Linked DNA regions of Arabidopsis thaliana. The protein of the gene in region 2 interacts with the protein of the main gene of each other region in a pairwise test. Each region holds a gene or a part of one and is shown on either strand. Other genes may lie near its edges.

Evidence for each region.
Region 1: the proteins of GLN1;5 (region 2) and AT1G63430 interact in a protein complementation assay, tested with the Arabidopsis thaliana proteins (one large-scale study listed by BioGRID).

Annotation. Positions count from the first base shown.
Region 1 is NC_003070.9:23,514,645-23,532,480, reverse strand, and holds AT1G63430 (Leucine-rich repeat protein kinase family protein), read right to left. Parts: upstream 9,985-17,836; 5' UTR 9,586-9,984; coding exon 9,504-9,585; intron 9,165-9,503; coding exon 9,026-9,164; intron 8,890-9,025; coding exon 8,818-8,889; intron 8,733-8,817; coding exon 8,589-8,732; intron 8,490-8,588; coding exon 8,349-8,489; intron 8,252-8,348; coding exon 8,135-8,251; intron 8,055-8,134; coding exon 7,990-8,054; intron 7,908-7,989; coding exon 7,650-7,907; intron 7,559-7,649; coding exon 7,353-7,558; intron 7,245-7,352; coding exon 7,112-7,244; intron 7,022-7,111; coding exon 6,864-7,021; intron 6,764-6,863; coding exon 6,548-6,763; intron 6,366-6,547; coding exon 6,030-6,365; 3' UTR 5,649-6,029; downstream 1-5,648. Other genes in the region: HMA5 (heavy metal atpase 5), read right to left, coding at 1,372-1,794, 1,876-2,355, 2,426-2,548, 2,678-2,932, 3,021-4,424, 4,524-4,826; AT1G63420 (O-glucosyltransferase-like protein (DUF821)), read right to left, coding at 13,704-14,072, 14,337-14,547, 14,622-14,686, 14,791-14,986, 15,533-16,113, 16,205-16,357, 16,446-16,607.
Region 2 is NC_003070.9:17,906,398-17,922,466, reverse strand, and holds GLN1;5 (glutamine synthetase 1;5), read right to left. Parts: upstream 8,757-16,069; 5' UTR 8,684-8,756; coding exon 8,610-8,683; intron 8,457-8,609; coding exon 8,417-8,456; intron 8,341-8,416; coding exon 8,237-8,340; intron 8,135-8,236; coding exon 8,086-8,134; intron 8,000-8,085; coding exon 7,893-7,999; intron 7,673-7,892; coding exon 7,585-7,672; intron 7,490-7,584; coding exon 7,286-7,489; intron 7,120-7,285; coding exon 7,066-7,119; intron 6,963-7,065; coding exon 6,765-6,962; intron 6,685-6,764; coding exon 6,541-6,684; 3' UTR 6,366-6,540; downstream 1-6,365. Other genes in the region: AT1G48490 (Protein kinase superfamily protein), read left to right, coding at 36-122; RKL1 (receptor-like kinase 1), read right to left, coding at 1,724-2,322, 2,624-3,992; AT1G48460 (tRNA-processing ribonuclease BN), read right to left, coding at 9,318-9,536, 9,653-9,993, 10,354-10,683, 10,771-10,813, 10,909-10,998; AT1G48450 (alanine-tRNA ligase, putative (DUF760)), read left to right, coding at 12,122-12,253, 12,500-12,795, 12,878-13,721; AT1G48440 (B-cell receptor-associated 31-like protein), read right to left, coding at 14,140-14,218, 14,306-14,361, 14,999-15,081, 15,221-15,392; AT1G48430 (Dihydroxyacetone kinase), read left to right, coding at 15,778-15,817, 15,953-16,026.

The DNA.
Region 1 (17,836 bases), 5.6 Mb from region 2:
TCAATGAGTGTGCACGTCTTGTTGTAACAAACTTAAATCATTTGATTTGGAAACCTGATAATAGAAATAGATGCATATGTTAATATTATATAGCAATGTTTGTTAGTTTAGTATTCATTGAATCTTATAGTGAAATTAATAATCCAAGTTTTGGTAGTTAAAACGAATTAAATTAACGTGCCTCCAAGTTAAAATTTTGGAAAACAACTTCTCTTATATATGGTTGTGGAATATTCACTTTGACTTTGGATGCGAGTGAATATATCCATAATAACACAAGATCTATCTAGCTGGCCTTTTTTGGTCAACTTAAATTTATAATTCAAAGTAGGGGTTATGCAACCAATCCGGAAAAAAAAGGAATCTATAAAACACAAAGTTGACATATAGTATACGAGAAGAAAACGAAGCAGAAATGTTTACTTTTCTCCTTGCAACAACATTGTCCCATTGATGCACTCACCGTTAGTTTTGGGACGATGAAGAAGATTGTTATTGCATTCAATCATTCTCCATGATCTATCAACTCCTCCCAATGTGAATACTTGATGTTCAAAAGATGGACCATCCCAGTAATCATTCACTTTTTCCGACATGCACAATACTTAATTTATACTCACCATTGACTGGATCATACCCGAAAAAGTTTTGGATAATCTTTTTTCTTGATTTCACTTTGGGTAAAGGTATGTACTTACTTGTGCTAGGGTTGCATATAAATTGTTCTCGTCCACATCCAAGACTTATCAAACCATTAACGTAATAAGGAACATTATTGATCCTGCGGCAATACGGACTCGGGATTGAGCATGTCGCACTAAGAGATAAATAATACGGTAGATTCTTGGTTGATGTCGAGGAATACGTGAAGAAGTTACAAATCTGGCGTCCGTTTTGGTTATCTAAATATTTGAATGCAAAGAGTATATGTGGCTGAAGCGAAGACCTAAAGGGAAACGATCTAATGAAATATCGACTGCGGATAATTGTTGCCAATAACTTGGATACAACGAGAAACTTAGCTACGGACTTCACAGGCAATCTCTTCTTGTCTCCGACGTTACTTGACTTACTCGAGACTCCTTCTCTATCTTTGTCCTTTTGCTGCCATGTCTAGTTCTCATTATCACGTTTCAAAGTATAATCCTAATCTTCTTATCTTTATTTGTGTCCTCTCTGCTCTTGTCTTATAATAAGGCAAATATTTTCCTTTTCCAAATAGGAAAAAGGGAAGCAACGAAAATATGGAGGCAAAGTAAATCAATTATTAGTTCATGGACTTAAATTCTAGATAAGGAGTGGAAACTTACTGTACGGTTTGTTTATTGGTTCATCAAATTCAATAACCGGTACTCGGTTTAGTTCAATTTTTTAAACTCGCTCCACCTGAATCTCCCGAATCTCCAGATGATCAAGCTTCTTAGGTCGCTTGTAGTTCTTAAGCAAGAGAGAGCAACACACAACACTAACAGAAGAAGCAGCCATTGCAGCACCTGCAATCCATGGAGGCAACCTGAAACGTGTCCCTGGGAAAAGCACTCCCGCAGCGATCGGTATCCCCATGAGGTTATACCCGAGAGCCCATACGTAGTTGAGACGGATTCTTGAGAACGTTTTCCTTGAAAGATCAATGGCTGTGATCACATCTTCTAAGTTGCTTTTCATCAGAACTATATCCGCTGCTTCTATAGCAATGTCTGTTCCTGCACCTATCGCCATACCTACATCCGCTGCCACGAGAGCCGGTGAGTCATTGATTCCGTCACCTACCATTGCCACAACATGTCCCGCAGCCTGCAATATATATTCATTGCTTTTATCAATTCCATATATGTGAACTTTTTAACATTTAGTGTGGAGCTTTTACTCAAGTACCTGTAATTCCTTGACTTTCTCTGCTTTTTGCTCAGGTTTAGCTTCTGCGATAACAGAGTCGATACCGACTTCTCTAGCAATTGAGTTTGCTGTTCCCCAGTTGTCACCAGTTACCATGATGCTTTTGATATTCATGGATTTTAGAATGGAGATGGCTTCTCGAGCACTCGGTTTTAGAGGATCCGAAACAGACAAAACTCCAATCAGTTCACTGTTTATGGAGACAAGAATTCCGGTCTGGGCCATATCTTCAGAGTCAGCTAGCAACTCTTCAGCATCATCTGGAATAATAACTTTATGATCATTCATCAGATTCTTGTTCCCCACCATAATCTCTCTACCTTTAACGGTGGCTTTCACTCCCTTTCCAGTGATGGACACAAAATCACAGGCTTCTGGCCAGGCAGGGTTCTCTTCGTCGTCTCTGAATTTCTTCGCGTACTCGACAATGGCCTTTGCTAACGGATGCTCACTGTTTACCTGATAAACAAAATAGCATCAACATAGTAATATTACTTTTGATGTAGGCCAGGAGTTTCCAAAAGTTTACCTCAGTTGCAGCAACAAGTTCATAGAACTCTCGAAGTACCATGTTTTTCAGGAGCTTTGTTTTCACAACAACGGGCTTCCCCATCGTGAGAGTTCCTGTCTTGTCAAAGACAATGCAATTTACCTACACCGTCATTGAAACTGTCAGGTTTCACCATTTCAGAAAAGAAATGATCCAGAGAACCTGAGTAAAGTATATACAGTATAGTAAGTTTACAAAGCCATAGACCAAGTTACTGCACACTAAACTAACCTTGTGTGCTCTTTCTAGGGCTTGGCCACCCTTTATCAGCACACCTTGGGATGCACCAACCCCAGTACCAACCATAACAGCAGTTGGAGTAGCCAGCCCAAGAGCACATGGACAAGCTATGACCATGACAGAGATCCCGAACTGAAGAGCTAGCTCAAAGCTATCCATCGAAGAAGGTATCCAGGATTCAGGGTACCAATGCAGTTTCCCAGCTAAGAACCAGGCAAGCCAAGTTGAGAACGAGAGGAAAATTACCTTCAACATTATAATCCAGTGAGTTTAAAAAATAGTTGTGCCTCTAAAAGACTAAATAATTTGTTTATCAACTGGTCAGATTACTCACAAGAGGAACAAAGAACTTGGAAATCCGATCAGCCAACTTCTGTACTGGAGCTTTGGCCAGTTGTGCGGACTCAACAAGTCGAACAATCTGAGCAAGAGCACTCTCTGAACCAACCCTTGTAACCTTAACATGCAGAACACCATTCTCGTTCAAAGTGCCTCCTATAACTGTATCACCCTTTCTCTTTGCCACTGGCCTAGCCTCTCCAGTGATCATACTTTCATTCACATGACTTTGTCCCCATATGACATAACCATCTGAAGCTACTTTAGCACCAGGAACAATTTTGATCACGTCATTCTTCTGTATCAATCGACCATCAATCTCCTCTTCACCAGTCACATTCCCTTCCTTGTCCAAACTCAACAATATCGCAGTGTCGGGTGCCAAGTTCATAAGCTTTGCGATCGCTTGAGATGTTTTTCCTTTAGCCATAACCTCCAAATATTTTCCTAGTATGATAAAGGAAATGAGCATGGCACTAGTCTCAAAGAAATCTACTCCCTTGAAATCAGGAGATGTTGCAGCTCTCAACACTGTGTATAATGAATAGAAATAAGCTGCATTTGTCCCCAGAGCAATCAGAACATCCATATTAGCCGATCCTCGGCGTAAAGCCTTGTAAGAGCCAGTATAAAATCTCCAACCAATGACAAACTGGACAGGAGTAGCCAAAACACACCTTATGATTTCTCCAACGGTGAGCATATTGATGACCTTAAACATGAGCAAATCTTTAATTCCAGGGATATACATAAAGACCATGGCTGTCAAAAACACCGGTACTGTAAAAACCAAACTCCAGAGAAACGACTTATAATACTGCTTAATCTCCCCTTGCTTTTGAGATTCTCTGCCTACCCCTCCCTCTGAGAATATTGTTGCCTTGATGTGACCACTATGACCAAAGACAGTAGACTCAATCACCTGAATGAAATTCCTCGGCCCCGTCACATCAGGTTTGTACAATACAGATATCTTATCAGTTCCATGGCTGATCTCAACACTTTGAACACCAGGAAGTGCTTCAAGCGACCTTTCAATAACCTTCATGGATTCATCAGTAAGCTCACCATCAATCTTCAAATCAATCTTGCTCACATCCTCGCCTGTACTTATAAGCACAGCTTCAAAACCAGCATTTTCTATCTCCTCCAATAGTCTATCATAGCTCGAGAGTCTAGGATCATAATGAATCTCAGCTTCTTCAATTGCTAAAGCCACATGTGCTCTTTGTACACCATTAACCGATTGCAAAACTCTTTCGATTGTTGAAGAACACGAAGTACAAGTCATACCATTAATTCTTATTCTACAAACTTGTCTCGACCTCTCATTCGCTTCATTTTCGATCAACGATGCTTCAAATCCAGCATCCTCAATAGTCTCACGAATTGTCTCCACCTATAAATCCACAATTACACAGAAAAAGAAAACCTAAATCCCAAATCAAGTCTTCTCAGAAACAATTCAACCGAGATTCGAGAGAATATCATAGCTTACATCGACAGAGTTAGGGTAAAACAGAATCTGAGCACGATTATTCAGAGCATCGATGACAGCATCGTGAATTCCAGGGAGACGCTTGATAGCCTTTTCAACAGATCCAGCGCAAGCAGAGCAAGTCATTCCTAACACTTGAAAAACCGCCCTGGAAATCGGATCATCGATCTCAAAAGCCGCCGTCTCCGACGATGATCCTCCGCCGCCGTCGCGAGACCTGGTAAGGTGCTTCCGCACCAGAGGGTAACGCTCGCTGAATCTCTCTTTCCTTATGCATGTAAGCGACAAAAGCTTCGTCGCCATGTAATCGATCGTCTTGTGCGCGAATCTTGTTCTTCTCGTATCGAATTTGAGTTTTTAAAAAGCTTTTAGGTTTATGGGAAATGATGAGACTTTTTGAAATTGTTTTGCTTTTTAAATTGGAACGAAGACGAGGGAAAGCGGTTTACGACATCTAAAATGACAAAAATGTGTGGGCCGATTTGTAAATGTTTAAACTATAGGGCCCTACCAAACAATACTTTACTTTTAAATTTCAACCGCCATATATAAAAAGAGAGAATTTCAACCTCAACAGATTAAATTCCAATTTTCTTTTAAATTATATAATTCAAATTTAATCGTCCAAAGTAACAACACCTTTGACTTTAAGGTTCGCTAAAAAAATGGATTGATTAGTGATGACAAAAAAAAAAGGATTGATTAGTGATATTATTACGACATGATGAAGTAATCTTTTTTTTTTTTTGATAATTAAGAACAGGCCTGATTAAGAATGATTAAGTAATCTTTACTTGTTTTTTTCTGTTTCAATAAAATAATATGACAATATACTAACGAAACTTGGCTAATCCATATCTGTTTTAACTAAAGGTAAAATGGAATCTATTTTACGTGTCTGTCTAATCTTTTATGGCACTCAACCTCGTAAGAAGAAGTCATACCAAAATTGAAGATTGAAAACAGTCAAAGCATTGATAAATGGGCCTATTGACTTGTGTGGCCCATTTAGACTGATACGAGGCTAAATGTGGGCCTTTTATTAAGTTGATCCATGCATTATGATTTATGAACTTCAACTACGTTTCTTCTTCTTCTTGGTCCGCAAACACTTGTCTGAGACTGATATTGATCTCAAATTGATTGCCTTGAAGCTTTTTCCAATGAGACTAATCATGTCAAACAATAGATACAATGCTCTATATAATATAAGATTAAAGGTTAGATCCAAACACACTACATTAACATTCTTCAACCTCTCATAGATTTTCAAATAATAGAGAAAATCTTTCAGAAACTATGTTCATCTCTTCATTTACAAACACTTTGAACCACCCAAAACTCAAAACTAATCAAGAACACAGACACACTCGTCAAGATCAGAGCAAAAAAAAACAATATCAAATGTTGTAATCAGTCGATTGATTTACAGAGTTGAGAGTTTGGTTTTTAGTTAGTTAGCATTGCATCATTCAACACTCGTTTTCTTTCCTTTCATCATTCTCATCACGAGTCAAGCGCCAGCTCGGCCCAAGCCAAAGAAGATGATCTAAGCTCCGCTGAAATAGACAGACTGATTCTGCTCTCCAATGTCTCGCATAGCTCTTGCACTGAGGGCTTGTTGTGATTGTTGTTGTTGTTGGTTGGGTCCCGGTTCAAGCATTGGCTAGCCACTTCGCATACCGTCTCAAGATCTTCTTGGTTAAAATGTTTCAGCTCTGGATCCACCAATCCCGACATTGCCTCTGGTGCTTCAAGGAACTCCTTTGCCTGCAAAATGCAATAGATACGTTTCAAATTCAAAACTTTTGCCACAAAAACCACATTTGAGGTGCGATATAACTAAACATGTGAACAAGGTCAAGACTTCCACATCCAGACGAAAACTCGTCTCTCCCTGAACAGACGACTCCATTCCTACTAGGCTAACAGTAACAAAGTTTTTGATATAAATGGTGAAAAAAGAGGAGGAGGAAGTAACTCAGTTTCAAGTGTTTAGAGAAACTGAGTTGTTTTTGTCTTACCCATTCAATTAAGAATCCTTTGTCTTTGCAATAAGGAGGTCTTCCACTGACAATTTCCAGCAAAAGAATCCCGAATGCATAGATATTACCCGACACATCAAGATATCGGCTCTCCATTCCGTTTGGGAGTACACATATCGAACCCTGGCTACTAATATTTCTCAAATTCTTTTCTGATCTTGCAAGAATTGTCTTCCAGCATTCGAAATCAACCAGCTGCATCAGAGAAAGTCAGAAAAAAGAAAGAATGTGAACATAAAGCTTAGCTTAGCTAATTGTATTACTCAGATAACAAGCAGGTCTCACTTTACTTTACCTTGGGAGTAAAATCTTCTGTGAGATAAATTGCGTTTGAGCTCAGCTCAGAGATTGTAAACGGAGGATCAAGTTCCATATGAAGGTACTTGAGACCACGTGCGATGCCTATAACAATCTTCATCCGTCTTGCCCACGATACTAACGCCGCTTCCCCGTCTGCATCAAAATATTTCACATAAAAATGTTATCTAGCTAAAACAATACAGGATGATGCAACAAAGCTCTGAGGTAAGTTAGACTATTTACAGTGAAGGTGCTCATATAGTGTTCCGTTTGATGCATACTCAAAAACAAGCATTCTTGTAAATGGTGAGATCTCTTTGCAATATCCAAGTAATTTCGCTGTGTTCTCGTGGTTTAATCTAGCCAAATCTGCAACCTGAAACAGTGAGGAGATGGATTTAAAATCTCAGAAAAAAGGAGGATATGTTTAAAGATTGTTCAATCCAAGTGGCTTGGTGATGATGATAACATGAGAGGAAGCTACCTCTCTCTGGAAATAGAGCTCAAGATATCCAGTCCAATCTTCTTCCTTTACACAAAGAGAGATCACCGCAATCTCAGACCCACCTTTCAGCGTTCCTTTATAGATCTGACTATCTGCTGATAAACCAATGATGTTGCTAAAGTCTTCACACGCCACTTCGAGCTCTTGTCTTGTTAATCTCGAAACATCCTTCAGCATTTCAGAATCTGTAGTTAAAATAAAAACATGCCACGTTTTTTTAGTTCTTTGCTCCATGGATTCTACATTGGAAGGTAAAGAATTAGGAAAGATTCTAACCTACGTAGACTGTGAACTTTTCCTTTTCACTTGAAGATTTCTTCCAAGGAATGATGAGAGTTGATCTATTGTTCCAGCGGTGAACTGCAGAGAAAAGTGCAACCAGAAGGAGCAAACCAACCATTGACCCTGTGACTATCTCAAGAGCTAGAAGCCATTTAGGTTTTGATGCTCTATGGTGCTTAGCCACCATTTGAGCTGATTGGTGCTTAGGAGCAGCGCTCGGGCTTCCATGAGTTTTGACCAGTTGTGCATTAGCTGCAACAGGGATAACATTCAGAAAACCAAGACTAATTGAACATGTATGTCGATAAAGTGAAAATTATTCTATCTTACACACCGCATTGGGAAGAAGATCTATGCTTAAGATCCTTGTTTTGCATGCAGTTCCCTTGAAAGCTCGTCCTAGTGACCACAAAAGAGCATTTCTAAGACTAAATTGAAGACTTAGAGAGTTCCAAAAGACAGCATAGATGATAGAATACCTTGGAAGGTTTTCTAAACATTTTGGAATATTTCCCACGAAAAAGTTGTATGAAAAGTCAGCTACTTTTAAAGATTTGCACAAACCAGCGATGTTTGCACTTGAATTTGAAGAATACCTAAATAAATTGAATAAACAAAACCCGATTAACATTGCCATCATAGACAGAAGTCACATAGTGTTTCATTTTTGGCTTCTTGAGCTATTAAACTTACACTTTCGACTGATAGCCCGATGCTCCAGCAACAAGAAGACTTCCTTGAAGCCTATTCCTGTCAATATGAAGTTCTCTAAGGTACTTCAAGTTACCGAGCTCTGCAGGCAACTTTCCAGTCAAACCATTGGACTGAAGGTTGCTGTAAAATGTGAAAAGAAAAACTGTCGTCTCAACAACTCATCTGTTAATAAGATATGAAAGCATCACTTTGACTGCGAAAAAGATGAATCTTTATTACATTATCATGATGCCGGACAAACTCCCGATCTCTGCAGGGATCGGTCCCATAAGATGATTGTTTCCCAAGTCCAAGATTTTGAGATTCTTTAAGTTTCCTATCTCCTTAGGTATTGTCCCTATTAGAATGTTCCCATGTAGGATTCTACAGAAGCATTTTAATGATGTTAATGAGATGCATCAAACTCAATGCATCAAACTACATATTTGTGAAAGAGATGAAACCGTACAGTTCCTGCAGGTACGTTATTTGACCCAATTCCGGCGCAAGAAACCCTTTTATCGATGAAGCGGATATATTTCTGCACGAAAAGAAGATCCACAAGCTATAAGCTCAAGCCAACTTCATCCTAAACCACTCATAAACAACTGATTCTGCAGATACTATACAAGAATAAGTAAACGCAAGAGAAAGAAGAAAAGATGAAAGATTCTTACATCTTGATAACATGATCTTTAGATGGAGAGCAATAAATGCCGGTCCAATCACAAGGATCTGAATTGGGGTCATTCCAATTAGACATAACTAGCAAAGGGTCCTCATAGATAGCTTCCTTGAATCTTCTAAGTGCTTGAACTAACAAAAACAGAGCAGAAGATCCATAAATCTATTAGATGATTTATATGATCAGACCTTGAATTAAAAGCTTTAACTTCACAGATTCTTCTGATCTTATCCATTAAAAAGATAAAACTTTTTCAGGTTGATTAAGATTCTACACTAATCCCAACTCTGTTCAAGTTAAGTTAGAAAGTTGTTCACAGAGAGATTCATGGAGACTGAAGAATCTAAAAAGGTATGAGCTTTATCTAGCATTTTCTTAGTAAACCTAACACAAGCGAGAAAACAATTGAAATCTGAGATCTGGGTTTAAGAAAAGTAACACAAAACAAAGAGATTAACAAATAGTTTTACCTTCATTAGAGGCAAACCCATCACAAGAAACGAAGAAGAGACCAAGAACAAGAGCTAACGAACAAAAATACTTCGATCTCATCGTCTGTTGAAAGATTCCTTCAAATTCGGCTCATTAAAAAAGAAGCGGAACCTAGATTCTTTCACGGATGATCAACAGTATAAGCTCAAGAAGAATCTGGAGAAAGACGACAACTTTCTTTGACAAGTACTCTCTGCAGAAATGAGATGTATAAGCTCAAGAAGAGACCAAGTTTAGTAAAGTAAAGAGCGAGAGAGAGAGAAGCTGAAGAATGGAACAAGGAAATGGTAAAAGAGAAGTGAAACTGGACAAGATTATTTGATTGATTTAGCAATAAACCTATCAAAGAAAACTCACTGAGACGAGAACAAAAAAAAAGTAGCAGAGATGATGAAGTGTGGCGAGAAAGAGAGAGAGAGAGAGACTTGGATTCAAAGACAGGTTTTTGTTTTTCCTTGTTGGAGGGGAAAAATGAGCTTTAATTTTTTTATAGAATAAAAATAGCTATGAAAATATACAATTTAAATAAAAAATATCACAGAAAGGAAGAATGTTCTCATCCTCTTTATCTTTTTATTTCTTTTACTTTGGGCAACTTTATGTGACTCTGAGTTGTTTTTAAATATTCTGAATTATGGATGTTTTTTTTACATGAATGTTTGTTTAGTTTTTAGATCGATTTTCTATTCATTTATATAAGTGAGAAATATATTTATCTATATTAATAATATATATACATCAATCATGTGGCAAAGCTTAACACCAAATTAATAATAAGGAAATATCCAAATCTTTCTATATCAGGAATCTAGGGGCATATGTACAACTGTATTTTTGCATGAGATTTTAATTGTAATATACAGTAAATTAAAAAATGATTTGTTAGTGTTAAAAAAATGATCTGTTGAAAAGATAATCGTTGTATTGTTATTCAAATATATATTATCGCTATTTTACTTTTAAAATAAAATGTAAATTTTATACAAAAAAAATTGTGCATCAAGTGTAATGTTCCAATATCATCGTTATTATGTAAGAGTAAAATTATTTTAGAACCTGATTTTTATTAACTTTATTAATTATAGATACTAATGTGGTATTTGTGTAGTAAGAGCAAAAAAAAAAAATATGAGAGAGGTGAGAAAAAGTAGGAGAGAAGGAGAGTTAAATTTTTCGGAGGAGAAACTTTGAGAAACTATTCTTATCAAATTTGTACAGATGTCATCATATTATTAGTTCAACTATTAAATAATAATTAATATATTTGTTTTGATTAAAATATTAATATATTTTTTTTTGAAAAACTTTCCTTATTTTTACTGATGGAAATAGTGTGCCGTAGATTTTTCTTCACTAATTTAATGTGGATCTAGTTTTTGAAAGAGGTAAATTTTTTAGTAGTGAATTTTTAGATATTCAAAAAATTAATAATAGGACAGACTATTATTCGAACGTAAAATGGAAGAGAACATCTCATTAGAATAATGGTAGAAATGAATAAATTTCGTTGGAAGATTCCTAATTAAGAGTATAATATTGTTGCTAATCATTGAAATAATAGTGCGTTTAATTTATAAAGAGAATTTATTTTTCGTGGTACGGTCACGGTGTCTAGTGTCTACTAGTCCACTACGGTGATCTAGAGCCTTGCTAAGCTGTTGTTACAACATACCGTACTACTGTAGATCACAGCTATGATCATTAAATTGTATTTTAATCAACGGTCAACATATTAACATGCAATACTAATATATAAAATAATTATATTTTGTTAGTAAATTCAATTTCATTGTAATAAAATAGTATCGTGAAGGCTATAAACAAACTTCAAATAATACGTATTTGTCAATTATAATAATAAGCTATTTAAATATAGTATGCTACAAGAATTATTATTTTTAGTGTGAGAGACAAAATGTCCCATGAAAGTTACGCCACCAATCATGCGAGCTTATGCTTGGAGCGCGTGACGAATACTCTCCGTATTTTAGGTTTATTGTTACCACTTGGAAGTTAGAATCATTAACTATCACAATTCACAAGTTCGAAAAATCATGACTATGATGTTGTGGGACTAAATGAAGAAAAAACAAAAAAAAGCTAAAATCTCCATTAAGCTTTCTCTAGAAACAATTGTTGTTTCATGGAAATAAATCAAACATAATGTCAGAATATTAGAAAAAAACATTATGCAAATTAACACAATAAAGTAGGGAAAATCAAATGGTTTAAAAGATACAACGCTCAACAACTCTATCAATTAAATAATTTCTTTTAATTGTCAACAAAGTTACACAACATATATTTTTAATGTTTGGTACAAAATCTACATAAACATTTTTAGATGAATCCAACTAACCCCTCGTTTATTTCTAGTACATTCTACGTTTCTTATTTTTTTTAATAAGTCTTTATATAAATTATATAATTGGCCTCAAGAGATCGTAACTTCATTAATTGAACAACAAACAAGAGAAGGGGACAAATTACCCATGCGTGTCCCAATTTGTTTGTTTCTAAGTTATTTTCGTGTTATATTTATTTCGTTATATAAACGTACACACATATTTGTTTCTAAGACTTGTCGACATCCCATTAGATGATTAGATCTCTTGTATCATTTATGTTTATGTTTTGACTGCTTATGCACTTAAAATTCGTATGGTATATACTTTCTACTGTTTTTTTAATTTTTATAATCAAGATATAAAAACGTATTACTAAGAATATTTTCTAATTAAATATATACATACACTTCTGTTACAGTTTGGACATGAAGGTTCCCTTGTCGTCACGCCCAATGCTTACAAGCAAACATTGAGTAGATGCTAAGGGAAATTGATAAGAACCATCATGAATACACAACTTTGTGATGACATCAAATTTAAATACGGGGCACTTGTTCAATCATACTTTCTAACCAAAGGATTAGTACCCTTTTTCCAATGGATTTAATAATTTAATGTTGCAGAATTTGGAAGTCAGCAGTTATCTCAAATTAAGGTTTGAGCTTATATGTACAGTATTCGGGTTTAGATCTAAACCGGGTATGCAAATATTGTGGGTTTTACACGCATTCGGAATAATTTGATATAACTTAATAACTGAACTTTTATTAATCTGCAAATTTTATAGTGTTCGTGAAATTTAAGAAGTTATTTCAGTGTTAGATCAACCATTTTCTTTTCTTTTTGTGCAACACGCTACTATTTTCTTAACATGTTCTTTTTAGTATTTCTAGTGTAGTATTAACCATTGACATCAATTGTAACAGATTTTAATGTGTTTTAACTCTCTCTTTTTAAAATGTGTGTTTTAAGTTTTTATCAGTCTTACACTATCTTTTTCGCATGAGAGAAATCTTAAATCTGAGTTAAACTCAAAAGTATTCACCGCCGCCGCCGTGCTTGTGTGAAGAGAAAACGACATTTAATGAAATGAACAAACCACATACAGTAATTTCATATTGATAAAATCTCAAAATATTGGGTATATCAAAAAAATCTCAAAATATTTATAAAGGATGATGTTTTATTGGGTTCTGTTTTTTGAAAAATTGATCATCTTTTTATTTTTTTGTGAGTCTCTTTATTAGTATAGACTATTCAGCAAGACAACTAAACCATTAAATCCATTTGGAGAATTTATCATTAAATCATTTTCGGTAAAAGAGTAGTAAATGTTTTGTACTAATATGTAAATAATAAATAACTAGATAATTAATGATGATATGTACATATGATCGTGTCATGTGTGTATATAAGATAGGCTGAGAGGCGATACACGTTTGTTCCACCAAGACGACTAGTAACCAAGTTGGTACCAAATGGCTAATACGATATTAACATCACAGTTTTTTTGACATGACAAATTATTGAAATTTTATATATTATTTCATATGATGGTGAGTTTAAGATACTATTCTCATAAACAATTTGTTCCAATTACTCGATAATTAATCATGCTTATAAGATTTATATTGAATGAACTTTGCATTTGTTTGTCAAGTCAGTGAAAGATAAGTAAATTATTAGAAAATAGTACATATCTCATTTGTTTATAAGAAAGAATTTTAATTCCTCAAAATTATAATCAATCTAACGTTATCCAATAGATAAAAAAAGGTACTATAAAAATCCCCAACTAAACTTAGATCATCAAATTTAGATTATATCACTTTACAGAACCTTTTGCCAGTAAGAGTCTTCCCATTTCTCCACTTGCCGGATGAGATTCAATTTCTTCCTATGGAACTTCTCAAGACCATTGGAATCAAAAGGAGGAGGAAGTGAACATGGGCCAGAAGCATGAGGCCTACTAACTAAAGAGCCTATCATAAATTTCTTATCAACCCCATTAACATCTTCCCCTTCAGAAGGGCACACCAAGGCTTCTGTGCATAGCTCAACACTATTCTTTGGAACTTGAGGCTTGTACTTAAGAAGCTTGGAGTATTCATTCAACAGATGGAACATGTAATCATAAACATTTTCCATTGATAGATCTCTTTGCATGAACTCACTTGCTTCTCTTCCTATCTCTTGAGCCTGAAAATCAAATAAATCTATGAAATCGTAGGCAAAGTTATATATGTGATTGAATTTATCAAAAAATTCTATACAACATACTTTTGTTTGCATAATACAGATAAACCCTTTATTTTTCTTCAAAACCTAATTATTTTTGACGAACTAGTTTGATGTGATATTGTATTATACATATCTATAAATAGATCCAGAAAAAAAAAATGATCATGTTCATATAAGTAAGATAATGTAGAAAGAGATTATAAAAAAGATGGAGAAGGGTACCTTTTGAGTGTGATTATTAAGCCAATCAACAGCAAATTTGATGGATCTACATTTATCTTTATCCCTAATGGGCCAATAGTGTTGGAGAGGTTGAAGAGTTCTTGAGAAGAAATCATAGTAATAAGGTTTCACCATCAATGTGACTGAGTCACATGCTAATATGTATTTCTCACTCACTGACCACGCATACCCTTCTATATAGATCTTGTACCTACATAGTAACTTTATTACTCCAATCATTAAATGACACAAAAGGAAGAAGAAATTTTAGACAATGGTACTGACCTGTAAGTGCATTGATTTGCTACATTCGAATTCTCAAATCCTCTTTGTCCTTCTGATATCCAATCCTATTTGCATGCAAATACAAATCAAAAATATATATATATATATATATATATATATATATTGCATAGGAAGACAAGTATAAATAAATCTGATTATAGAAGCATACCTGAATGAAAATTCTAGCATTCCAATCATGTAGTGAGGATAAATTGCAAGTGAGGAGATCTTCTCTTGAAGGAGATGCAACAAAAGGGTTCCCTTTCCAATATGCATAGGCGTCTCTTTCCATAAATTTCTTCTTCTTCTTTCCTTCTTCCATTTCTTTCAACACTTTGCTCCACTCCCTTATGTTTATCTCCTGCCTTCACCCACCAAAATTATTCCATTTCATTTCAATTTCATTCAAAAAATAAGAACTTAATTTGATAGAAAACATGTTTAAATGAATAGTTATGAAACTACCAATATGGTTTTGGTTTTACACTTCATGTTTTGCTGGAAAGATTGAATGACACAAGAAATTAAAGTTACTTTAGTGAAACACTTTAGTTAAAGCATAATAAGTGATAAACAACTTACAACCACATATTTAAATTGTAGTGGCATTGCGTGGAGGGATAATATTGTTTTTGGACTTACCTTTTCGTCCCTTTAAATTACTATAATTTTAGCCACTAACTAGCTATACTACTATACTCTTAAGAAGATATAATACAACAAAATGAATCTATTAAGAATCACGAAAGAATCTATTTGTGTATAAATGAAAAAATGGACCCGGTAACTTTTCTCCGGCATGTGATCAAGTGGGGACAAGTGTACCTTAACAACCATACACGTTAGCTTCAGAGTTCAGACAAAAGAAGAAAAAAGGAGAAAGTGAGAAGAGATTATATTCTAGTACTTACCATCCCCAGAATGACCAATCAGGAAAGACGATATCCACCGTCCACCTATCACCGCAATATCTAAACAACGGAGGTGGCGCATTCTCAACCGTACGATTCAATATATTATAACCGTCCGATCTAATGACTGGTCGATCATCACAGTCAAACATGAGATCCACGTCAGGTAACTTCCCTGGATACTTTCTCAGCAGCTGAAGAATCCCCCATAGTGTGAACGCATCTCTAGTTTGTATAGACTTCTTGTAGTTTTCGACGAACACCTTGCCGTTTAAAATAACTAACCTGAAATGTGCTGTAGTTTTGCCTCTTTCCACCATTTCTTTTGTTATCCCTGTTTCTCTCCATGGTTTTAGATCCTCGTGAATCCACTTGAAGTAATCAGGACAAGACCGGTTAGATTCGGTTTGGTTTTGATTATAACCCGATTGCAGTGTTCTTGAGCAAGAACCAGACCGGTTTTGATTCAAGAAACTTGAGCAATCTACCGAGCTTCCGGTTTCCTCCGGTGATTTCTTCTCTGATACACGTACCGGGACCGGTTTTATTGTTGTTATTGTCGGTCGATGAGATGGTTTTTTCTATAGTAACAAAAAAATGTTGTCATAATTTATTTTTCAATCATGAACATATATATTAGGCATAATCATGGAAGTAAAGAAGAAGAATTACCTTGTTAAGTAGAGGTGTTCTTGAGCAAGAACCGGACCGGTTTTGATTCAAGAAACTTGTGCAATTTACCAATACTCCGGTTTCATGCGGTGGCTCTAGCTCCGGTTCTGGTTTTGTTGCTACTAATGTCGGTCGATCAAATGCTTTTGTCGTCTTTGATAAACAAACAATAATTCAAAGTATGAATAATAGTTATCATGATAGTGTGAACTATGTATATATAGTGAAAAGAATGATTTACCTTGTTAAGCCATAGAGAGGAAGTGACGGCAATACCGGCGGCGATTAGGAAGAGAAGAAGCGTTAAAGTTGCCACGTGGAGTTTTCCGATAACCGGACGGTAAGTTTTAAAGTTGGTGATATGAGAAGTGAGAGCTCTAGGTTTAGAGAATAGAGACGTCATCGTTATGATTTTTTCTTTCTTGGATTATTAAGGGAATTTTTTTGTCTTTGACATTTTTGTTGATATCTCGAAAACAAGTTGGGGGGGGTTTCTCTTTCTATTTTTTTTTTTTTGAACTTAAAAAGGTTGAGGAAAAAAGTAGAAAAGAAAATGCCTCGTGGGTTTGAGAGAATGATGAGGACACGAGTCACACGACATTGATGATAGTGGACTTGTTTTGCTACTAGTATATACTTTGGAATTCGGAAATTTAAACTAGTCAACTTTATCACTCGATCGTTTCAATTACGTTATTTACATAGATTATACGTATAGAATAATTTTTTTCTGTTCAACATATGATAATCATATAGTACTACTATTTAAAGCGTGGCCATATGTGGATAAAAGTTAAAAGGGATTTCGATGGAAGTGTTTTTTTGTCTTTCAAGTATCTCACTATGGTTTTTTAATCCACTATGCTTCATCAAATAAAATTGTTCAAATTTTAAACTTATATCAAAATAGATGAGCAAATCGAGCAAATCAAGCAAATAGGAGGAAGCCTTCATTACCTTTCTGCTGGCCCGTTGTCATCTTCGGTAGTGAGATCATATACTTGCTCTATAACATTCTCATGAGGGCTCAAGAAAGGTATTCAACTATTGAATTTCTTATACTAATTACCGACTACTAAAAGAAGAATATGAAGCAATCTTTATAAGTTGTTCTTGTGGTCTTGCCTTGCGCATTCACGAAGAAGGAAAGAGTGACTTGTTTTTAATTCGTGTGATAAAATTTGAATTTATATTACGAAAATGGTAACTTGATGGTTAGTAACTACACAATTTAAACACATTGTGTTGGAGAACAGCTTTTTTCCCAAAACACTCAAATTCATGTTTTACGAGTGTAAGTTAAGCAGATTTTTTCTTGTCTAGCCATTTCACAAAAAAACGAGTTGAGATAGCTGATCTTTGTTTGGTGCATAGAAGAAGAACACCGGCGCTGAGGCTTTTCGTAGGGAATAAAAAAGAGAGGCTGTTAACACCATTCATTTCAAATAAAGTACATTATAGGGGGTTTTGACAAAGAAATTTATATACTTTTTTCATTTTGTTATGTATATATAAAAATTTCAAAACTCACCAATTTAATCTCAATATTAAAAATTACTAACCAACACTCCTATAGTCCTATGCATGTAATTTGTCGAATCACTATAGATTTTAATATATAATTTTTGATAT
Region 2 (16,069 bases):
TTAGTATTCTGACTCGCTCTTTTTACGGTATGAAGAATCTCTCGCAGCTGGCATATATCAACTATAATCTGATGTCCAAGGGTCACAAAGATGAAACCCAACCAAGTTTGCAGCGAAGATAACAAACAAATGAATTTTACTTGTTTATTCTGTACATGTAAGTCATTCTTTATTAATTACTAAATTTGTGATATCTATATAGCAAACTGATTTTGTTTTGAGTTTACTCTTTCTGATGCAGAGACATGAAGAAAAACAGAGGAAAAGAAAAGAAAAAAAACATTTATTTGGACGCATAAACGCATCTGCAAATGCGGTTATTGGTGTTTTGCGGTTTGATATTTGTTTGGATTTGTGGTTCAGCATATATGGGACATGGTCTCTTAGGCTTTTGCGTTCCACCTTCATAGAAGGGTTGTGAAATGTTGTCCAAGTATACTGAGTGAAAGTGCATTATTTATTATATATATTGACAATTTGTCTCTGTCACATATTTTCATTAGATTCTCAACGAGTGATACCTTTTCCAACCAAAGTTTTAAACCTATCATATTAATGGGACATACACCAATGTTGCTAAACTGATGTATAGTTAGCGATTGCGGTTTGCGTTTGTATTGGCAATTAGCAGCCGCATCAACCGTAAATGTAGGTAAAGAGACAACGCACATAAAATAGAATCATCACTATCTTAATGTCGTCTTCTCTCTTGAAACCAATATCTCTTTATGGTCCCTCTCTATCATGTGTACCTTTGGGACCTCTCTAAAAGAGTCATACAATTATAGCAGCCTTAGTACTGTTGCAGTTCCACCCATTCTCACCTATTTATACCTTTAGCATTAAATGCTTTACTCTTAAAGCTGTCAATGTTTGCAAGCCAAAAAAAAAAGTCATAGTGGTTTTTGTGAACCAAAAAGAATTATTCAAAATGGTTGACAACCCAATATTAAAAGAGTTGTCCACATTTACATAATAGCAAATTAGGTATTCTGTATTCATTCAATTCATTTTCATAAATCATGTGTTGAGTGTTTATTTTTGGTATATTTAGCTGTCTCTCCATCAAAACTAAATTAGATGTGGGTCACTTTGATAGCAAGAGATAATAATAAGCATGTTCTTATATTGATATGACATGTTCTTACATATAACTTCCATCTACCATAATAAGCTAAACAAGTGCAAAATATACGGAACCGAAACAACATAAAAATGAACAAATTAAACTGCAATTTAAATTAGTATAAATTAACACTAACCTTTCTCATTTCAAATGATCAAAACACACTGCCGGGAAAAGGCATTCCACAAGTGGCCAACCAAAAAATATTGTATATCAAAACAATTTTGTATTTGTTCGAAAAACTGAACACATCTTTTTCATAAAACACTGACCAACTGCGTTTGCCACCACAGTATACAACTTTATATTACGATATAAAAGTCACACTCACATGTAACATAAGAGACAAAAAGATACGTAACAATTTAGAAAATAGATTTAAGAAAGGGAAGCAACAACAATAATTACAAATCACCACCAAATCCCTTCACGCCCAACACAAACAACTGCAAATGCCAGCAGAGTCACCCACTAATAATAAAACCCCTTCTCCTTTTTGACAAGTTGTGTCAAAAATTAGAAATTAAAATTATAAACCTGATTTCTCCCCAACCATTTCATTCAAATTAAATAAATTAACAATTAAGAATCTTTGACTTAATCAGCTTCGTTCACTTGGTCTGAACCAGAATAAGGTCGCAAATTCTCCATCTTCCTAACCACTTCCGACATCTCCGGCCTCTGGTCCGGATGCTGTGACGTACACTCAAGCCCTAGCTGCACCATCTCCGCCATCATCTCTTCTTCATCCGTCGCCAAACTAAGCAACTCCGAGTCGAAAACTTCTCTCCTCCACTCATCTCTCGCCACCGATTTAACCCATCTCGGCAAATCAACTCCTTCCTCGTTCATCACCGAGTTCGAAGGAGCTTTACCCGTGATCAGCTCAAGCAACACCACTCCGAAACTGTACACGTCACCCTTCTGCGACACGCGTTTCGGATCGGTTACTTCTGGAGCACGGTAACCCGTAGCGCGGTTTGGATTTGTTGCTGATGATCCCACGAGCTGGGCTAAGCCAAAGTCTGAGACTTTAGCGTCGTGGGATTTCGTTAAGAGGATGTTTGAGGATTTGATGTTGCCGTGAGATGTTGAAGTGCCTTGTGAGTGAAGGTAGTCTAGACCACGAGCTGCACCAATAGCAATTCTTGATCTAACATCCCAGTTTAGTGGACTCCTTCCCGCTCCTCTGTTTCCTGTTAACAGACAAAAGACAATTATAGAAACTAAAGAGAACAAACCAAAGTCTTAGAGTAGTAATCATTGTTCATAGATCAAAGCATCCAATGTTAAACACATTGTCCCTACCAATTCACAGAAACTATACAAAGTATTATGGAAATCATATCAATGTTAAGAATCAATGATCAAAGAGATTAAGCACTAAACTTAACCATAATCTAAATGTATTCAAGCCTATCTATAGGCACTAAAAGCATTGACTTGCCTCAAAAGAAACCAAACTCAATCTAAGCACAAGTTTCGATATGAACTCACCATGTAAGAGAGCTGATAAGCTTCCCATAGGCATGAAGTCATAGACAAGAAGTTTCTCATCTCTGCTGAAATAGTAAGCTCTCAATGGCACCAAGTTCTCATGATCCATCGCACCAACCAACTCAATCTTCTCCTTAAACTCTTTATCAGCCATCATCACATCCTTCAACCTCTTCACCGCCACAACCGTCACCGCGTCAAGCACTGCCTTATACGCCGTCCCAAACGTTCCTTTCCCAAGAACCTCCGCAGAAGCTCTCAACAAGTCTTCAAGATCAAAAACCTTAGTCGCGTTACCAAAGAACACAAGCTTCTTCGTCGCTGGACCGTTCCCTTCACTGGCTTTTCCGTTTCCAGTCATCGCCGCAGCTGCAGCAGCAGACACCGAGTAGACATTACCATTATCCACCGCTTCTTTATCTCCAGGAATTTCAGGTTCTTGCTGTTTGATTGTTGAGATATCAACAGCTCTTGATCTCTTATTACTCTTTTTCCGACAGAGCACCATTAGTATCAAAACAATCAAAGCGAAACCAACCACACATCCGATCACAATTCCGGCAATAGCTCCACCGGAAAGTTTGTTCTTTTTCTTCTTCTCTTCACTTCCTTCAACACTCGGTGGTGTTCTGTTTCCACCAGAAGTAGGCTGACTAGGTACAGTTTCTTCATCAGGACAAAGTTTAAGCGGTTTGCCACAAAGTGAAGTCTGTAGAAACGAATCAGACTCAAACCTCTGAAGATTCTTAGGTATAGAACCGTTCAACGAGTTATTCGAAACGTTGAATTGAACCAAAGGTAAATCTAAGTCAGGGATTGAACCAGAGAGTTGATTATTCTCTAGAAACAGAGTCTTTAGCTTCGTGAGGTTCGTGAAACCTGAAGAGATTTCTCCGGTGAAGCTGTTGGAAGCGAGATTAAGCCTCACGAGGTGACTGAGACTGAACAAAACTTCAGGTATCTCGCCGGAGAATCTGTTTCCTTGTAAGTAAAGGTGTCGGAGATTGGAAGAGGTACTGAGATCTTTAGGGAGTGAGCCAGAGAGAGCATTGAGACGAAGGCTAAGTGTACGGAGCTGAGTTAAGTTACCGAAAATACCCTCTGGAATGTCACCGGAGAGAGCAACGCCGGGTAAGCGGAGAGCGGTGACTCTGTTACTCTCGCATTTGACACCGGCCCAGTTACACGGCGAGGTTTGTTTGATGTTCCAGCGAAATGTACGGCCTCCGACGGCGGAGCGGAGAGAGAGAAGAGCGGTTCTGTCGGCGTTGAGATCTTGAGTTGATGGAAGAGGGAGAGAGAGGAGAAGGAGGGAGAGGAAAACAGAGAGAATCGCCATGGACGAGTTGGGGAAGAAGAAGACTCGCATTGTGACTATTCAGAGAAGAAGACGAAGAAGAAGAAGAAGAAGAAGAGAGAGAGAGAGAGAGAGAAAGGTATAAAAATGAAAACTTTATTATTAAAGAGAGAAGAAGAGAGCTGTAAAAGGAGTGAAAGCAGTCAACAGCCTAATCCTCTTCTTCTCCTTTTTTCCATCTTTCATTGTTTTTTTTCTGTTCTGTTTTTTTTACTGTCAGTAAATGGAATTAAAATATCAGTTTTAAGTAGTAAAATAACAGACTAATATTAATCTAAATTCTGTAATTAGCATAAAGACTCCTAGATAATTGAGAACCCTAGTTATATGTTCCTAATTAATCTATTTTTTTAGATTTTTGACACATAAGAAAAAACATATTAAAAATTGATTATAAATATATTTTTTGGAAATTACAATTTTCTATAATTCTTAACCAATAGTATTTATTTTATTTTATTTTGAAATTTACGATTCATCATCAATACCTGATAAAAATGCATACACAACATTAAAAAAATATACATTTTCTTAACCATTTGTTCTCTAGAAAATGGATTATTAAGGAACATAGAGAATTAAGTTATGGAGTATAATAAGATTGAAGTTGTTGATAATATTAATATAGAATTAAAAAAGGAGAAAAAGGGTGGGTAGAGAGTTGGTAGGACCGTAACATGTTAGAAGATGATCACAAATTCACAACCACATTTGATTACATTAAAGTTTTTGGAATAAATCTTCTTCGTTTTGTGTCTGTCTCGGCCACTCTGTAAACAAGACCTCCTTTAGTTTTGTTTTGTATCTAAGAAATTCTCGACATTGGCCCTATAATATGTATCATCCTTTACTATAGTCCGGGACCATTTGTTAGATGCCATATAAGTTGTGCATGCGCATATTATCAAATATTTGATCTCAAAATATACAACTTTCTCAAGTGTAATTTGTCAATAATATGCATGCATGCTTAGACGTTATTTGTCGATAACTATCATGACTATCTATAAGGGGCCAAGATCATGATTTGTAACGTTTTTATTTTCTGTTAGTTTTAAGATGTACTACATGTCCTACTCCGTTTGGAGGTAAGAAATCTACAAATTCTTTTAAGTTTATGGTTATGTGTCAACTATTCCTAGAATTTAGTAGTATATGACAAAGGAATAGTTTTATTTCTTTGCAATAGTATGGTATTAGGTTAGATCATTTACACATACAGCAACAAAAGGAAGCTGTAACGTGCTGCGATACATGGTTGGGCGTTACACGAAACGAAACGACAACTACAATTAATATTTACATTTTTTTTCTTTCATGTGGTTTGGCTCCTTTTCTTCTCACCAAATACTACCATTAATTATAAGTTTCATTTGCTCGTGAAAGACCAGAGCAAATACCCAAAAAGATTGATTATTCTTCATTGGTCGGAGAGAATTTCTGTTAGATAGTTTCGAGAAACTTATAATTCTATTTTTCTCGTAAAAGATTCAAATATTAAATGACTTTTTCTAGTTGGTTTTGTTTTTCTTGGCGTCTATATTGATTTATTTCTGTGATGAAGAAAATACCGGCTTACAATAATAAACTATACGTAACATGCATGAACATATATATACATATATGTAGTTGAGTATATGCGTGCAGGTGGACCAATCAAGTAGTTTATTTAGTTATATATTTTACATGAATTTCGTGAACGTATCTACTGACTTTACCTGACCACAAGATACGTCTAATTCTTAATTAGATCCCTCTATAAGCCCATATTAATCCAAGTATAATATATACATCGTTCAGTAAAAACAAAAAAATACTTATACATTCGACTACGAGATATATAATCTTATAGCTTATATTAATGCTTTCACCGTATCATAGACGAGGAAAAAATGTGTGTATGCTTATAACCTGATAATTAAACGTTACAGATCAATCATCAATGGACGAAAACTGCATAATGTAGGCATGTAGCTTTAGGGTAGCTTCTATGACATAGCTTGAATCTTGAATATAAGAAAAGAAAAATCAATGTTTTGGTCAACTTTTGCATAGACACGGCTTCGAATTCAAGTCATAACGGTAGAGGTTAATTAGGCTTGAAACGAAATGGGTTCTAACTTCTAGATATGTATACAAGTTTCTTGTTTCTCAATCCTTTCTTTTGGACCAACACGTAACTAGAAAAGTAAAAGAACAATAACGGACGGTAAATTTGATATATGGGCTAATAAAGTCAGGCCCGTTCAATTGTTTTTTTCCTGGTCAATGCCCTTATTCAAACATAATCTAATATGGATGCTATGGTACAATGCAAACGCCCTTCACTGAATGACTTCAAATGTAACTAAAAAGCTTAGCCGAGGATGATGGTTACAAATTATTCGAGTCATAACGGTAGATTTTTTGGCTTAAAAGTGAACCGTAACCGGATCAAACAATAGAAATCACATAACATTTCGTAACTTATTTGAAAGAAAAGTCTAAATGCGAAATTAAACCATATCAAACCGAAATTCGAAGAACATACAAAGAACCAAAACGAAGAAAAGTCTAAAGCTTAGAGGATGGTGGTTTCAGCAATCATGGAGGTAACTAGGTAAGGATCCATATTAGACGAAGGCCTTCGATCTTCAAAATACCCTTTACCTTCTTTCTCCGTATCTCTTCCTACTCTCACCGATGCTCCACGATCCGCCACTCCCTACACTCGATAGATAAAAGTTACATAGAGATAGATCATAAACCAAAACGTAACTATATGATTTGGTTTCATATATATACCCAAGAGAAAGTGTTGATGTCTGCAGTTTCATGCTTCCCAGTGAGACGCCTCTCGTTGCCTTCACCATAAGCAGCAATGTGTTGTTTGTGTTTCACTTCAAGCTTCTTTATTGCTTCCTTAATCAAATCCAGTCCTCCATCTTTCCTCATCGATTTTGTACTGAAGTTCGTATGAGCGGCTGCTCCATTCCAATCACCCTAATTAATTAACCACCATAGATAACAACCTCACTACAAAAGAACATTCAAGAAAACTCTCAAGCTATAGCTACAAACAAAACAGTCTTGATCATCACGAAACCTGGATTGGTTTTGGATCGAATGAGACAATCACACCGCATATCTCAGTAATCCTCTGCCAAAAAAAAAAAACACAATGATTCATATTAGAGTGCAAGAAACCAAAGTTGAGCGCAAAGAAATTGTTAGGAATGCCACATCGATAATAAGATAGGACATAGCAGAAATATGGGCCCATGAAACTTGATAAAAACAAAGATAAAATTGTAATGGTTTCTTACCTCAAGAATGTAACGAGCAACCCATAATTGATCACCTGCACCAATACCAACAGTAGGACTGATTTGAAACTCCCATTGTCCAGGCATGACTTCACCATTGGCACCACCAATACTCAAACCGGAGTATAGACAAGCTTTATAGTGAGCATCGACAATGTCACGACCAAAAGCTTTGTCTGCACCTACTGCACAATAGTACGGTCCCTGTTTCATCAAAACACACAAAAAGCAATATTTCCGAGATAAGAAACTTGTTCTTGGTAATAAGAGTTAGTGTATGAATTTTATCATAAGTGTACCTGAGGACCAGGAAAGCCACCAAGAGGCCAACCTAGTGGCCACTTCACATCTTTTTTAAGTAATGTGTATTCTTGCTCTATCCCAAACCTATTATATAACACATCAAAGTATCAAAATGAGTCCTAGACTGAATCAACTAAACTGAAATATATTCCAAAACAGTGCTTATGTTAAACAACTTTTAATATATGTTACAATATATTTTGAATTGGTCAAACTATGGTATTTTTGTTCTACACCATAACAAACTGAAAAAATTCGATTATAGTTCATTTGAATTTTTCTATAGGCTATGTATTTAGCTTACCAAGGCTCTTCAGCCTTCACATTGGGATGATCGAAGATTTTTACGGCCTTGTGCCTATTGTTGGTCGGAATTGGATCTCCGGCCGGTCTGTAAGCATCACACATCACCTGATATATTCAAGAACATTGATTTTAAAGACCCACTAATCAATAAAACAGATGAATCTTTTGCTCAAAATTTTATGTGGGCTAACCAGAATGTTGTTCCCCTTCCTGAATGGGTCCTTAAATATTGCCTGAGGACTTTTTTTTTCCAATTCATTCCAAAAAAATGAAATTATTTTAAAGATACTTTTGATATCACTTTACTTATAAATGTTATGAATAGGGGATGAAAAAGATTACTAAAGAATGACTTCACTATCATCTCCGGCAGCTTGATCGGTGCTAGATCCATCGTAGTTCCATTTTGGAAGCTTTGTTGGATTACTTACTGGTCCTGGTAATGTCTATTAACAAACAGAATTTAAATTTTTGTTTGGTTATTATAGAAACTAGAGAGACATAATGTGATGGTATTATTACCCTGGCTTTGCTTCTAATATCCATTCCAGAGCCACCGATCCTGTTCTCATGAAAAAACAGAACAAAACAATGTTGTTTAAAGAGACATGCAAGATCACAAGTGTGTAACATCAAGAATCTATATGACATGCATCGAGTTATAGAGAGACTTTTCTATAGATTTAAGTGACAAAAAGATGATTAGGGATCGAACCATATGTATTCAGCGATGATTTTCTTGGTGTCTGATAGATCAAGGTTTAGGAGATCTGAGAGAGGAGACGTCATTTTTGTTCCGAAAGAGAAAGAAGATGATTCTGAGATTGGTTCTATTGATCTCAGTCACTCTCACTATTTTTATAGAAGCGGCTATTTCTCTTGAGATCCTATTTTATTGTTTTCTCAACAATAATCGTTGATTAGTATAATGGCATCTTTTATTAAGTATCCATTAATAACCATCACATATTGATAAAAAGCTTTGGGACCAATTTATTTGAGAATCAATCACTCAACGGTGTAACAGATTCATCAATGAAACAATACAGACACGTCACACTGTTAAAGACACCTATCGGAGGCACAAATCTTCCACGTGGATAAGCATTCAGCTTCTCTATTGTTGCATACAAAGGACCAAAACACAAGCTGAGACCAGACCCATCTATTGTTGTGTTACTTATGTTGTGATTTCACACATTGAAACTTTAGAGAAGGGGTCACAAGAGTCTCCAATAAGAAATCTCATCAAATACTGAAGTTAAGTAGGATCGTTCTATAACATTTCCAGCCAATTCTCATTTCACATGATCAACCAATTCTTAAAGTGACTTAATACAATTCATTACTACTGAAATGAACACAGAAACAAAACAAAACCGATGGGATTTGGCTACATCTAACAATCACTAAACACTGAGATCTAGTAGTTTTCACCTACAGGTCTAGAAGGAAAGAGGCGCATAAGAAAAGTGATAAACGACCAGAGACACATAACAGCTAGAAACTGCAAAGTCACAACCAAACCAACTAGTGCAACTCCTCGCTCTGTTATTTCAGCAGTCGTTGCCGCATCTTTCATCATAAACATCAGCCTCTGAACAAAAGTCGCTGCTCTTGTCACCTGATACAGCCTATACACCTGCCATGACATACACAACCATAGTTACTCAAAACAAGACTACAACATCATGGACCACAAGAAGATGGGCAGACAAACTTAAGACCAAAATGGTCAAAATCAGAATATAAGTTTACCTCAAAGACTATTGGAACAATGGGCCAACAGGATGAGCCACGTCTTTCAAGCCGAGCCTCGAAAACTCTTTGAACTGCACAGCCAACCAAGAAAGGAAGCACTGCAATCAAAGCATCTATTCCAAGAGCTGGCCAAGTCATGTAAACAGCAAATACGGGAACTACAACTTTTAAACCCATCGTGAGGAATGCAGACGTAAGGTATCCCCTCAGTCCAGTGATCAGACCCCATCTCTTGGAGCTGAAGTCTAAGTACGGCCTCTGCACTCGGTCAGTCACAGACAGGAATATCGCAAGACCAGCATAAAACACCGTCTCAAAGCAAAAAGAAGTAACAATTTCTGCATCAAGAAATTATAATAAGAGAGAGCATCAAAATGAGTATCATACAACAAGAGATAGATCATTTGCTAAGTCTCTTAGCTTTAGGAGAGTTATGAGATCTCGTTTAGGTACTTTCTAAGGCTCAGGTCATGTGTTCTTGATAATAGTGAAAAAAAGGATTCTAATATTGCACATCAGAAAACATGTACTAAGCCTATCAAAACCTCAAAGCCAAAGCCTACTACACTAAAACATAATGAGTTAGCAGATGTAACACCACTAAGATAGATAGCTTCTACTCCATTTGTTCCTTCCTAGGATTCATATAAGTCATAATCCGATGTTAAACATTAAAGCAGTAGTAAAACCTGACCTACCAGCAACAGTGTCGTTTTTGAAGGTAGCTTCAATGATACCACTTAGAAAGAACTGAGGAAGAATCAACGAAGAAATCAAAACAACAGGAGCCAAAACCCACAAGAAAGAACCTTTCTCTTCTTGAAACGGAGCTGAAACCAGTTTACTTTCTTCAACCAGCTGATGAGTCAGACCATTGAAAGAAACAGAACCTGATTTCCCACGGAACAGCTCAGCTCGAGCATAGTTACTCTTATCCGATTGCTTCTTCTCAGGTCTTGAGTCAGATTGAGAAGAAGAACACGCTACACGAACTCGGCTCAATTGCGGTTTGTTCCAAAGGAGGGTTTCTTAAACAAGAATGAAAATGAGAAAAAGGATCAGTCTTTATGCTACAATCTGGGTGAAGTAGGAGGATTTAAGATAGAGATACTTACGTCTGGAATCAAGTTTGTGACGCGTCGCAAATGTGGAAGAAGCCTATAGAATCAGGAGATATTGACAAATTTTAGGATAAGGTTTTGGAAGAATCGAAATGGAAAAAAATGAAATTTTGATGGTTAAATTTCACTTACAGGAGGAGAAGGAGGAAGAGAGAGTAAACGTGGAGATGAAAATCGAAGTCTTGGAGGAAGAAACCCTAAGCAAATTGCTTTCGATTCCATTTTTGTTAGGGTTTTTTGTGTTCTCTCAGCAGCTTAAACCCAGGCTTTGAAATAAATCTCTTCACTGTCTTTATTCTAAAAGAAAATTCTTTTCTGACATTTTATTTTTTGGAATTGTTTTCTTTGAAATGGGTTAAAAATTAAACTGTCCTTCTGATTGCATTTATTTTCTATGGTTTTACAATGGGCCTTTTATGTATTTTAGCTTGGCCCAGTTGAATTTTTTTTTTTGCACAAACCCAATTTTTTTTTATGTATTTCCTTCTGTTCGGTTATTTCGGTTTTTTTTGCACATACCCAGTTAAAAACCGAATTACCCGAAAACCGAACCTACCCGAACCGAACCTAATATCGGATCAATTCAGCATACTTTTCCAAAAAATTTAACAAAAAAAACGAAAACCGATATAACCGAACCGAACCGAAACGTTAAACCGAACTTTGATTGAGAAAGAAGTTGAGGCAAAATAATAGTGAAGATCGGATAAAAATGGGTGAAGTTGTAGAAAGAGGAGGCTCAGCTGTAACCTTTGGATACTTTAGCATCATTCTACTACCCACCACACTTTCACGGTGGTAGTAGCCGTAAGTCCGGCCTTTTTTTCATCATCGCCACCGTTTTTCTTATTTTATTAGCAAAAACGAAAAACCTTTTAAAAAAATTGTAGATTCACAGAAGACAAAATAACTTTTTTTAAACGAAATCACTGAGAAACGAAAAATCAGATAGAAACGACGACGACATTCTTACACACCGATTGGGGTAAAACTTTTTAGACGCGAAAGGCGAGAGAAACCCTAATTGTCTTGATGGGTCGTATTCTGGGCTATATATGTTTCCCATAATGGTCTAAAATCCCGCTTAATGGGCTTTGAGAAATATAAATATGAGCCCAACTTCTATTGTGTCAAACATGAAAAATTACGAAATTAATTTCCCGTAATTATCAAAAGAAAAAACGTGAGTGGGTATTATTGGAAGAGATAAGAGTCATAAACCATCCACACTAACCGGTTTAATCACTATTTATCGACATCATCTTCTCCTACATTCTAGGTTTCTTCTTCATTTCTCCTTTCTCTGGCCAAAGTTCCGACTTTTTGCTTCTCCCAGAGGCTAATCATGGACGCTGTGGCGGCGAATTTGTTTCAATCTCCTTCCTTACTGCGTCAAACTTCCGAAAGGTTGATATTTTCGACGCCCAACTGTCCTGGCTTCATGCGAATTAGCTCCGGACCTCAATTTCGTCTCAGAGTAGGTCTTATTTCTACTGAGTTTGATTTACTAAACCCTAGACAACATTGACATTTATAGCTTTCCCGAATCATCTTTGTTTGTGCTTAATCTACCCCATAATCGTATATCTTCCAATGAAATTCGAGAATTCAGATTCTGTGTAAAAAAATGGAACTTTTAAGGTTTCTTCGTGTAAATTTCTCATAAGTAAAAAAATTGGCTTGACTATATTGTAATTTGAATCTGTTGTCTCTCTGTATGCAGCAAAACTCTTCTCTTAAATTCTCGAGACCATTTCAAAGCGGAACAACTTGTGTTAAATCTCGGAGAAGCTTTGTGGTTAAAGCTTCAGCTTCTGGTGATGCTTCAACAGAATCAATCGCGCCGCTTCAGTTGAAGTCTCCTGTGGGACAGTTTCTGTCACAGATATTAGTGAGCCATCCTCATCTTGTTCCAGCAGCTGTTGAACAGCAGCTTGAACAGCTCCAAATTGATCGAGACGCTGAAGAACAGAGTAAAGATGCATCCTCTGTCCTTGGAACAGACATTGTTCTCTACAGGTTTGTCATATGCTGATATTAATTACCACTCGGCTATTATATAGGTTTGGATATTGAATTAGATTGTTTCTTGGGTCTTTAGGAGAATTGCTGAAGTTAAGGAGAAAGAGAGAAGAAGGGCCTTGGAAGAGATTTTGTATGCGTTAGTGGTTCAGAAGTTCATGGATGCTAATGTTACACTTGTACCATCCATAACCTCTTCATCTGCGGATCCATCTGGTCGAGTTGATACTTGGCCAACTCTAGATGGGGAACTTGAGAGACTTCACTCGCCTGAAGTTTATGAGATGATTCAGAATCATCTTTCCATCATTCTTAAAAACCGCACTGATGATCTGACAGCAGTTGCGCAGATAAGCAAACTTGGAGTTGGACAGGTATATGCTGCTTCGGTGATGTATGGGTATTTCCTGAAGAGGATCGATCAAAGGTTTCAGCTTGAGAAGACGATGAGGATTCTCCCAGGTGGGTCAGATGAAGGTGAGACTAGCATTGAGCAAGCAGGCCGAGATGTAGAGAGAAACTTCTATGAAGAAGCAGAAGAGACTTATCAGGCTGTTTCCTCAAACCAAGACGTTGGTTCGTTTGTAGGAGGGATCAATGCCAGTGGCGGTTTTAGCAGTGATATGAAGCAATCCCGGTTAAAGACATACGTTATGTCCTTTGATGGAGAAACCCTTCAAAGGTACGCTACAATAAGATCTAGAGAATCGGTTGGGATAATTGAGAAGCATACAGAAGCATTGTTTGGGAGGCCAGAGATTGTGATAACGCCACAAGGCACTATTGATTCCTCGAAGGACGAGCATATCAAGATCAGCTTCAAGGGATTGAAGAGGCTTGTGTTGGAGGCTGTGACGTTTGGTTCTTTCCTCTGGGACGTGGAGAGCCATGTAGACTCAAGGTATCACTTCGTACTGAACTGAAATGGCCTCTGTGGTTTATGAGGATGTGCCACATTCTTTGAGAGGGTTTGGGGATTTGTTGTTTGTAATATATGCGACTGTGAACTGACCAACTAATATCAATACCCATTTTATGGTAATACTACATTCGCGATCAGTTTGTGTTATTCTTCTCGTTTACATCTTGAAGTGCATCGTTGTTGTTTAACAAAATTAGTGTCTGTAAATGATAATTCTGGACATGAAAAATTAAGGTTGTTCTTGAAATATGATCAAAGAAATGGACACTGATGATATACACATATAGTGTGCAAAGGCTGTTCACGATACTCTTAGTTTCATTCAGGTCCAATAATATTAGAACGTAAAAATGCAATAAAAAAAAGCTTTACTTATATAATGGTTTTGAGGAACCAACTCCCTATACTCGTGAAGATTATTACTCTTCCTTGAATCTCTTCTCCGTTGCCTCCAAGCGCTCCAGGTCTTTGTTGTATTTGCAGATGCGGTAGATGCACCTGTCAATGAATAAAAGAGATATCAATAAAACTACGCGAGACCCTGTCTGTGAGTGACTGATAATAGCTGATGATGTTACAACTTACCAGTAGAGTAGAATTCCTGCAGCGCATAGAACCACGTTCCTCTGAGCCTTGTAGATCTGTGGTACAATGCAAACGCACAACTCGTTAGCAAGCAAGCTGAGACATTTCAGGGAAAGAGAAGGAACTAAGGGGTGAATTAAATATCCAAGTGTTTGATTTTCAGTTTTTCACTATGTATAATTGATCCTGGCGACTCGCAACTGCATACCCAAAAAGGTTTGAATACAGTGCATGACCAGAAAACTGAGGGATGAACTAAACATCCAAGAGTGGTGATGAAGCTTCACCAAGAATCAATTGCCAACAATTCACAAGAGCAAAGTATAAACTGAACTATGAATGACAATCGTGCCGATGGTATAAAGAAAGTCACATGTTGCTATTTGACAGTAGCTAGAACTACGATTAAAAGATATATGAGTACATCAATGAAGGGTAAGACCTAAAAAAATGCATTGACACTAACAAGTTAGACAGTGTTTTGTAGCTCTAATCTATGCAACTTCCTCAGACAAAGAAAGCCAATTCTCAGAAGTTTTACTAACAAATATTGATCTTTAGACTAAAGATGGGAGAAAATGACAAGGATGAAACTCACAAATCTAACAATTTACTATTCAAAAAAAGATTCATACACATAGAATTCAGCTATAGAAGAATCAAAGACAAAGGTGATCAAGGAATGGTACTTACAGATTTCTCGTAGCGATCACGTTCTGTAGCAGTGCAAACCTCAGATGAACAAGATAGTCTATGCTCAGCCTTCCAGTAAATATCTGAATGAAATCAAAACCAAATAAGCAAAAGCACACAAAGGTACCAAATCCACAGAATCACTCGCGGCTCAAAACCCTAACTATACATATTCCGACTACGAAATAGATAGATAGAGCGAGAGAGAGGAGAGGAGGTTACCGAGGAGCTGAAATCCGGCGAAGGCGACGATGGAAGCAGCAGGTTGGAGAATCAATGAGACAAGCTGAACTACACGTTTCTTAAGAAGCATAGGGTAAGGGAGAGTCAACACGAGGGTGATTACTACTTCGACGGCCACCACATACGATAGAATCAGCCATTGCAACGCCATTGTTGTTCGTCTTTTTCTGGATCTCTCTCTCTCTCTATCTCTATTCCGTGTGAAGTAGACGAAGAATAATAATAGACGAACCGTGTGCGTGGAACACGTGCCTATGCTTAACCATTTTTTCTTTATCTTACTAATTAAGTTATTTTCTTACTTAATGGGCTCTCACCTCCGGCCCAATATCTCCATATACCGGTTTTATTGTGCTGATTATCGGTTTATTTCGATTTAACGGTTAGCTTTCAAGAACAAATACAGAAACTAGTCACTCTCTTCTTCTTCTCTGCCATTGTTGACTCTTGAAGTCTCAATTTTTTCTCTTCTTTATTTCTCCGTATGAACTTCTCCGATTTTATGGTTTTTATATCCTTGAAAGCTAGCTAGCACCATGGTTCCTCCGGCTAAAAAATTCATCAACAACCCCAACGGTTCGTGATCCCTCGTCTCCGTTTGTGTTTCGAATCGCTAGCTCTCTGTTCTAGATAGTTTATCTCATATATGGTAGTTGCATGCTCTTGAAATATCAATTGATAGAGAGAATGAACATAAGCTGTTTATTGCAGATGTTGTAACCGAGTTCATCGAAGGTCTCGTCGAAACTTATCCTGGACTTCAGTATTTGGATGGTCTTCCCGAGGTTAAAAAAATTCACTTTTTTCGATTCCTTCCATGGATGTGTG